Callithrix jacchus: one gene and its partner. The protein of the gene in region 1 purifies or fractionates together with the protein of each later gene. This does not show direct contact. Links are inferred from orthologs where the notes say so. Each region holds a gene or a part of one and is shown on either strand. Other genes may lie near its edges.

Region 1 (4,539 bases):
CCCATCACCAGAGTGTTTTGAGCTGGGATGAGAAGACTCCAGGGGATTGAAGGAGGCCAAAAGGAAGGACCTGACCTAGCCCTGGAACAGGAGACAGCTGATTTGAGAAGTCAGATAGGCAAAGAATGTTTCAGGCAGAAGGAACAAGAGCAAAGGCCCAGAGGTGGACGATCTCACACCACTGCTAAAAACTATCAATGTGGGCCAGGCATAGTGGCTCACACCTGTAATCACAGCATTTTGGGAGGTTGAAGCAGCACAATGGCTTGAGGCCAGGAGTTGTAGACAAGCCTGAGCAACATGGAAAAACCCTGTCTCTACTAAAAATACAAAACTTAGCTGGGTGTGGTGGCGCATGACTATAATCCCAGTTACTGGGGAGACCAAAGCAGGAGAATCGCTTGAACCTAGAAGGTGGAGGTTGTAGTGAGCCGAGATTGTGCCACTGCACTCCAGCCTGGGCAACAGAGCGAGATTCAGTCCAAAAAGAAAGAAAGAAAATAAAGGAAAGAAGAGAAAGAAGAAAAAAGGAAGAAAGGGAGGAAGAAAAGAAAGAAAGAAAAAATTATGTAGATCATTTATTAGGACATTGGCTTTAGACTAAGAGTCAGACCAGTATTCCTCTGGCGGGGTGGGCATATTGCAGAAGGCAGCTGGAAGCCAGGAGGCCAGGGAGTGTGCTACTGCAACAGTCCAGTCTGAAGGTGATGGTGGCTTGAACCAAATGGGCTAGAGGAAGATATGGATATACTTGCAGGAAAAACCAACAGGATTTCTAGGTCAGCTATCCGGTATGAGAAGGATCAGAGAGTCAAGGACTATTCTGTGGCCAGAAGCACAGAGTTAGTCATTTTCCCAAAGGGAACCATTTCTGCCAGACCCTTCGTAGATCCAAGCTTTTTTTTTGGGGGGGGGGAGACAGGCTGGGGATTTCCAGCTGTCTGGAATCCCCTCCCACATAGTAGGAGCTCTCTTTCCCCCTCCTGGATTTCCCTTCCACACTCTTCGTGGAAGTTTTCTCTCTTCTTTTTTCTCTTTTCTCTCCTTGAATAAAATCACCTTTCTGCAACAACAACAAAAGAGACAGGCTGGTCAGGAGTTCGAGACCAGCTGGACCCACGTGGTGAAACCCCGTCTCTACTAAAAAATACAAAAATTAGCCGAGCGTGGTGGTGGGCACCTGTAGTCCCAGCTATTCGGGAGGCTGAGGTGGAGAATCGCTTGAAGCCGGGAGGCGGAGGTTGCAGTGAGCCGAGTTCGCACCACTGCCCTCCAGCCTGGGCCACAGACTAAGACCCTGTCATAAAATTAAAAAAAAAAAAAAAAAGAATTCCGAGTCACGGCACCAAAAAAAAAGAAATTTTTTAAAAAGAAAAGAAGTACCTGACGCAGAAAAGCGTTCAATAAATAATTATTGCATGAATTAAAGTACTTTTGCTGAGACATTTTTCCCCACACCGACCCTCCAGCGCATCCCGGGATCTGCAACGCATTCTCCGAGTGAAGACCCGGAGGTGATAAACACCTGGGCGTCCGAGCCCCAGCCGCGCAAGCTCACGACTGGGCCAGGAGTGATAATAAACAAGCATTCAGCCCAATAGAAAGTCGTAGTTCTCTTGCTGGGCGTGACCTGAATGGCGTCGTTGGCCACCTCCTGGGCGGGAGCTCTAGCCGTCCGGAAGACTCCCCTATACCCCATCTCGCTCAGCTTCCGGCTGGCCTTAGTTCCGGTTCCTGTCCGACTCTGGAGTCTTTGCAGAGGGTCACATTGAGCTGCAAGGTGCATCGGGGGTGCTTTTAGGTGAGTGTGAAGGGTTCTGGAACCTGGAACCCCAGCCTAACGGGCTGAGGATCTGAACCCTAGCTTCCCCGAGAACGGGTTGAGGCTTCTGGCTGGCGGCGTCCAGCCTCCCTGGGCCCCGGGACCCTGTTGTTCTGTTCTTCGTAAGAACTAACAGTGATATAACAGGAGTTCTTCCTTGATGCAAGGCAACATCCCAAACAACTTAAATTATTCATTTAACTCTCCCACCAGAGAGTTCTAAGACAGGCCTGGGATCATCCCCTTTTGACAGTAAACAGGTTTGGAGATACCAAGGGACCTAGCCGAGCCTACACGCGACCAGGATTTGGCCCAGGAGTTTGTCCTCCAGGGTTCATCGCAAATTCAGGGGCGTGGCCTCCCGCGGCTTACCTGGGCTGCAGCCTGACTCCCTGGTGTTCTGTCAATCCTCCCTTTTGGACGTGGGAGGGGCCGCAGCGTCACCTCCGAAGCACCCTCATCCTCAGATACCGGCTCGAGATATCGCCGGTAACCATCCTTCTGATTGCATCTGTGCCCCAGCGGTGGTGTTTTACATACACCCCACCTCCCCATCGAAAGACCGTTTTAGTGCTCCAGACCCCCACCACCACTTTGCATCGCTTGAATTTGACGCTGCTCTGCAGGTTTCTGTATAGCCCCACGACTCCTGGGATTCCCTCGAATATAGACACTTTCAGGTTCCCGACGAACATTATGTGTCACTTCTTCAGAGACATTATATTAAAGATTTTTAACCCTCGGTCTGCAGAGTTGGAAGAATTCCAGGAATGTATTTGAATTGGGGTGACTGTGTGGAATTACCCCAGTATTTGAATTGGGGTGAGGGGGTGGAATTCTATCTGTGTATTAACCTTTTGAGGCAACAACCTCGTTAGTACTAGCAGCAGCTGTGATTTTGTTAGCAATCAAAACCATAGATATTTTTTTCTCCTTTTTTGAGAAGGTCTCTGTGTACCCAGGCTGGCATGCAGTGGAGAAATCTTGGCTCACCGTAACCTCTGCATCCCCGTGCAAACGATCCTACCTCAGTAGCTGGGACCACAGGCATGCGCCACCACACCTGGCTAATTTTACTATTTTTTTGTAGAGATGGGGTTTCACAAGCTGGTCTTGAACTCCTGCGCTCAAGTGATACTCCTACCTCAGCGTCCCAAAGTGTTGGGATTGTAGGTGTGAGCCACAGTGCCCCACCTAAAATCACAGATATTCTTATATCACATTATAAATGCAGATGTCACAAAATACTATATCCACTCATGGTTACTTGAGTGAGGTTGCAGGGGGTCTTGCTCTGTCACCCAGACTGGAGTGCAATGGTGTAATCTCAGCTCACTGCAACCTCCACCTCCTAGGTTCAAGCGATTTTCCTGCCTCAGCCTCCCAAATAGCTGGGATTACAGGCACCCACCACCACACCTGGCTAATTTTTGTATTTTTAGTAGAGACAGGATTTCACCATGTTGGCCGGTCTGGTCTTGAACTCTTGATCTTAGGTGATCCACCTGGTTTGGCCTCCCAAAGTGTTACGATTATAGGCATGAGCCACCGCACCTGGCCAGAATTGTATTTCTTAATGAATCCTCAGCTGGATATAACTGGTTTTCTTTGTGATACTATTCCAGTTTTTTGTTTTTTTTTTTTAACTTCTTCATGTACTCATGGAACCTATGCAATGTTGTAATACATTTAAACATATTCAGGCCAGGTTTGGTGGCTCGCGCCTGTAATCCCAGCACTTTGGGAGGCCAAGGTGGGTGGATCATCTCAGGTCAGAAGTTCGAGACCAGTCTGACCAACATGGTGAAACCTCGTCTCTACTCAAATGCAAAAAAAGTAGCTGGGTGTGGTGGTGGGCACCTGTAATCTCAGCTATTCAGGAGGCTGCGGCAACAGAATTGCTTGAACCTGGGAGGCAAAGGTTGCAGTGAGCCTAGATCGCATCACTGCACTCCAGCCTGGGCAACAGAACAAGGGTCTGTCTCAAAAAAAAAAAAAAACATATTCAGTGAGAGGTTTATGGGATTCGTGAGACCACTGAGGAGTCTGTGGCACCAAAAAGATTAAGAACCTTTGCAGTGTAGATTATGCCAAAAATGGAGGTAGCCCACCATTTATTTTTATGCCAGATAACCTTAGGAAGTCACTTAGACACCCTGTTCCTTCCTCGTCTGGGCAGTGGTGATAGTAATAGTTCCTACGTTCCTACTTTTAGAGCAGCCGTAGGAGTCAGGTGTGTAGAACAGCACCTGGCATGTAGTAAGCATTCAGTGTTAGCTCATGTTATTTGGGAACCAGGCTTGATTTTGCTGAGGAGTCGCACCCTAATGCTGCCACAACTTCCACGCACAGATGTGTGGAGCGCCCTGCCCCTCATCTCTGCATATATGTTGAGAGGCAGGAACTTGTTCACACCCCCACCATTCTTCAGTGCCTCCTCTCTTCCATTGATCCTGGGTAGTCTGACTTGCTCGGGGCCCCTGCCAACACCCACTCCTTTCATCTCCAGGATTCAGCACCATGGCAGAAGAGATGAAGGCCAAACTTAAGAACTACAAGACTGCCCCTTTTGACAGCCGCTTTCCCAACCAGAACCAGACCAGGAACTGCTGGCAGAACTACCTGGGTAAGCAGGACCTTTCCCTGGCCCCACACCTCTAGTCACTCACCTCTTGCCTCTTCCTAGGGGACCCATCCATCCCAGCATCCTCCCTTTT
Region 2 (2,961 bases), on another chromosome or scaffold:
GTAGGGGAACTGGGCATGAAGGCATGATCAGGAAGGAGTGAGAGATTGGGTGCCCCTCAAGGTTACAGGCTAAGGGAGGAGTCTGGTTGGGGCAGGAGGGCTTTCTATCAATTCACATATCTGACACTTGGGAAGGTGTGTTAGGTCTTGAGTAAGAAGGCAACACAGAATAGGTAGCCCCCGTGTCCACCAAGAAGGAAATGGACTTACCTGCTACCTATAGCATTACTTTGAGCTCAGAAGGGCGATAGGGGTCTCCAAGTCTGGGCCACATCAGTCGTCTATGAGGCTGAGGAGTTCAAACGAAGGGACTGCATCTTTTGGACTGGCCTGCCTCTCACATGGAGGTGCAGGGGGTGAGCCTATAGTCTGGGATGGGCAGTCTACTTTCTAGTGTCCAATCCATTTGCAGGTAGGACAGGGTCCCAGGGCCAGTGGCCCTCCTGGCTGCACTTGAAACAGGGCCTGGGTGGGACCTTTGAAGCAGTCTGGGTGGGTCCAGAGAGTCCTGAGGGACCCTTTTGGGGGGCCTTTGACAGGTCCCTTACACCAGATGCTTGGTGAGTTGCCAGCCTCAGAGCCGCTACAAGAGCTTGGGTTTGGAGGCTCACCTGTTGCTGTAGCTGGGCCTGGTGGGTGGCCTCAGCTTTTTCCTCTCCGCCATTAAAAACTTTAAATGCCATGTTTACCAGGTCTCATATGGGAGTTTGGAGGCCCTCCTCTGCCTTCTTTAGTTTTTTTCTAATATCTGGTGCTGACTGGGAAATAAAATGGGCTGCTAGGAGGGTAGCCCCAGCTGAAGAGTCTGGATCTACTCGGGTATGGCCCTTCATACCCGAGTAGATCCAGACTCTGTGTTGTTTTCGCTGGGAACTGCACTCCAGAGCTGTTCCTATTTGGCCGTCTTGGATCCACCTTTTGGGTTACAATTTTTAAATGTCCCTATTCTCTCTTTTGGAAACTGGTTGTGCAGGTTTGTGAGCAGATTTGAACCTCCAGGGGGCAGCATTTACAAATGTTTTTCCACCACTGAGGTCCCTGTCAAGAAGAAGTGGTGAGATGTAGAGGAAGGGATATGGGCTCTGCCGGCCTAGTCTGCAGTCCTAACGTGGACCATGAGCCCCAGAAACTGTGTGTAAACTGGGGTTAGTAGTACACAATGCAGGAGAACTTGATCTGCAACCGCTACTGGTCCTGGGGGTCTGCTGCCTGCTAAGGGGGCAGCACTAGTTGGCATCGCCCTTGCTATCCCCATTTCACAAATAAGGTACAGGAATAGTTACAGCAGGTCCATTGATCAGTGGAGCTTCCCAAGCTGGAATTGAGAGGCAGCTGGGGTTTCACCTAGGACTTTGGACATTAGTGCAGAGTGCCAGGCCTGGGTACTGCCCTGGAGTGAAGAATCATGTGTAATTTACAGGACGTTTTAGAGGCCTCTTAGAAAGTGCTTTCAGGTTCTTGGTAAGACTCATGTAAGAAGCTTCTATATGAATCATATATCTGTGTCTGTCACAAAGCTGAAAATGAAGCCATCATTTTGATAGCATTTTGGAAAACAAAGAAATACTATTTAGATGTGAATAAAGTTCAATGATGAGAAAAGCTATGAAAGTCAAAAGAGGCCTATTAATAGTGAGAATGAAAACTCATCTATAACCTTGCTCCCTTCCCACACACATGTGCAGTTTAACAGTTTGATTTTTTACAATGCACTCGCACTAATCGTATGCCACCAGCTTCTCATTGTGCAGCATGTGTTAGACATCTTTCCTCGTCAGTACATAAGGAGCAACCTCTGCCTTTTCACCAGTCCCCACACTACGCTGAGCTTCTGAGAGCAGCTGCAAGGCAAGAGGGGCTCAAGGGGCAGGGAGCTTGGGGGTAAGGTGGTCCCAATCATCCATATGGGGAGGGGATTAGAAAGAGAAGATTAGTACCTCAGTTCCTTAAAGTGGGCTTTCAAAAAGCTCTTCACTAACCATCCAAGTGATCGTCTCTTTGGGTTAAATGGTTCCCCGTATTTAATTCTTGGAGCACAGCCTCAGAGTACTGGGAGGTGGCTTAGAATAGTTTAGTGTCACACATGGAGAAACATGTCCTTGATGGCTTCTCTCCTAGCTGGGCCAAGGAGTGCTGGATATGTGCTAGGCATTTCAACTGAATCCAGATTGAGGTATGGGTCCATAGGAACGATGGCTCCTGTTGTTCTGCACCAGCTGAGTAGCCTGCGAGGACTGGACCAGTTTTGTATTTTCTGAAACATTACAGAACATCTCTCACATTGTCCTTGCTTATCTTCCTGTTCCAGGATTGATACTGCCAAATGGAAACATTAACTGGAACTGCCCATGCCTTGGGGGAATGGCCAGCGGCCCCTGTGGGGAACAGTTCAAGTCGGCCTTTTCCTGCTTCCACTATAGCAAGGAGGAGATCAAGGGGTCAGACTGTGTAGACCAGTTCCGGGCCATGCAGGAATGCATGCAGAAATACCCAGACCTCTATCCCCAAGAGGATGAGGATGAGGAAGAGGAAGAAAAGAAGAAGCCAGCAGAACAAGTACCAGAAACAGCTCCCTCTGAAGCCACTGCAACCAAAGAGGAAGAGGAGTCAAGTTAATGAAGGCCACAAGGCACTGGGCTCCAGTCCTTCCACTTCAGTGATATGGACCTTTTGCAAGATGCCTTTTAGTCACCTTTCCAGAAAGTGTCTTTCCCTCTGTTGTCCTGTGCACTGTAATATGCAAAATAACTTATTTTGATGATCAGGGGTCTTGGCCTCTTGACATATACACTGAAAAAAATGGGGGTTGTATGTGTGTCCTACCTAAACCTGTAGCCGCCACTTTGATAGAATGCTGAATAAGCTCAGCAAGTAAAAACCATTACCCAGGAACCTTGCTTGTGAGTGAGCTGATACATTCTGATTCATTATATTCCTCTTACTAGATTTTATACCCCTTGG

The links.
Region 2: the proteins of COX6B1 (region 1) and CHCHD4 purify together in Homo sapiens (co-immunoprecipitation; 3 studies listed by BioGRID and IntAct, with this or other methods). This does not show direct contact. The link is inferred for Callithrix jacchus from reciprocal best matches to the Homo sapiens genes COX6B1 and CHCHD4.

The regions. Positions count from the first base shown.
Region 1 is NC_133523.1:31,848,725-31,853,263, forward strand, and holds the start of COX6B1 (cytochrome c oxidase subunit 6B1), read left to right. Parts: upstream 1-1,723; 5' UTR 1,724-1,801; intron 1,802-4,331; 5' UTR 4,332-4,342; coding exon 4,343-4,448; intron 4,449-4,539. UniProt on the Homo sapiens protein: Component of the cytochrome c oxidase, the last enzyme in the mitochondrial electron transport chain which drives oxidative phosphorylation.
Region 2 is NC_133516.1:71,077,696-71,080,656, reverse strand, and holds part of CHCHD4 (mitochondrial intermembrane space import and assembly protein 40), read left to right. Parts: intron 1-2,308; coding exon 2,309-2,616; 3' UTR 2,617-2,961.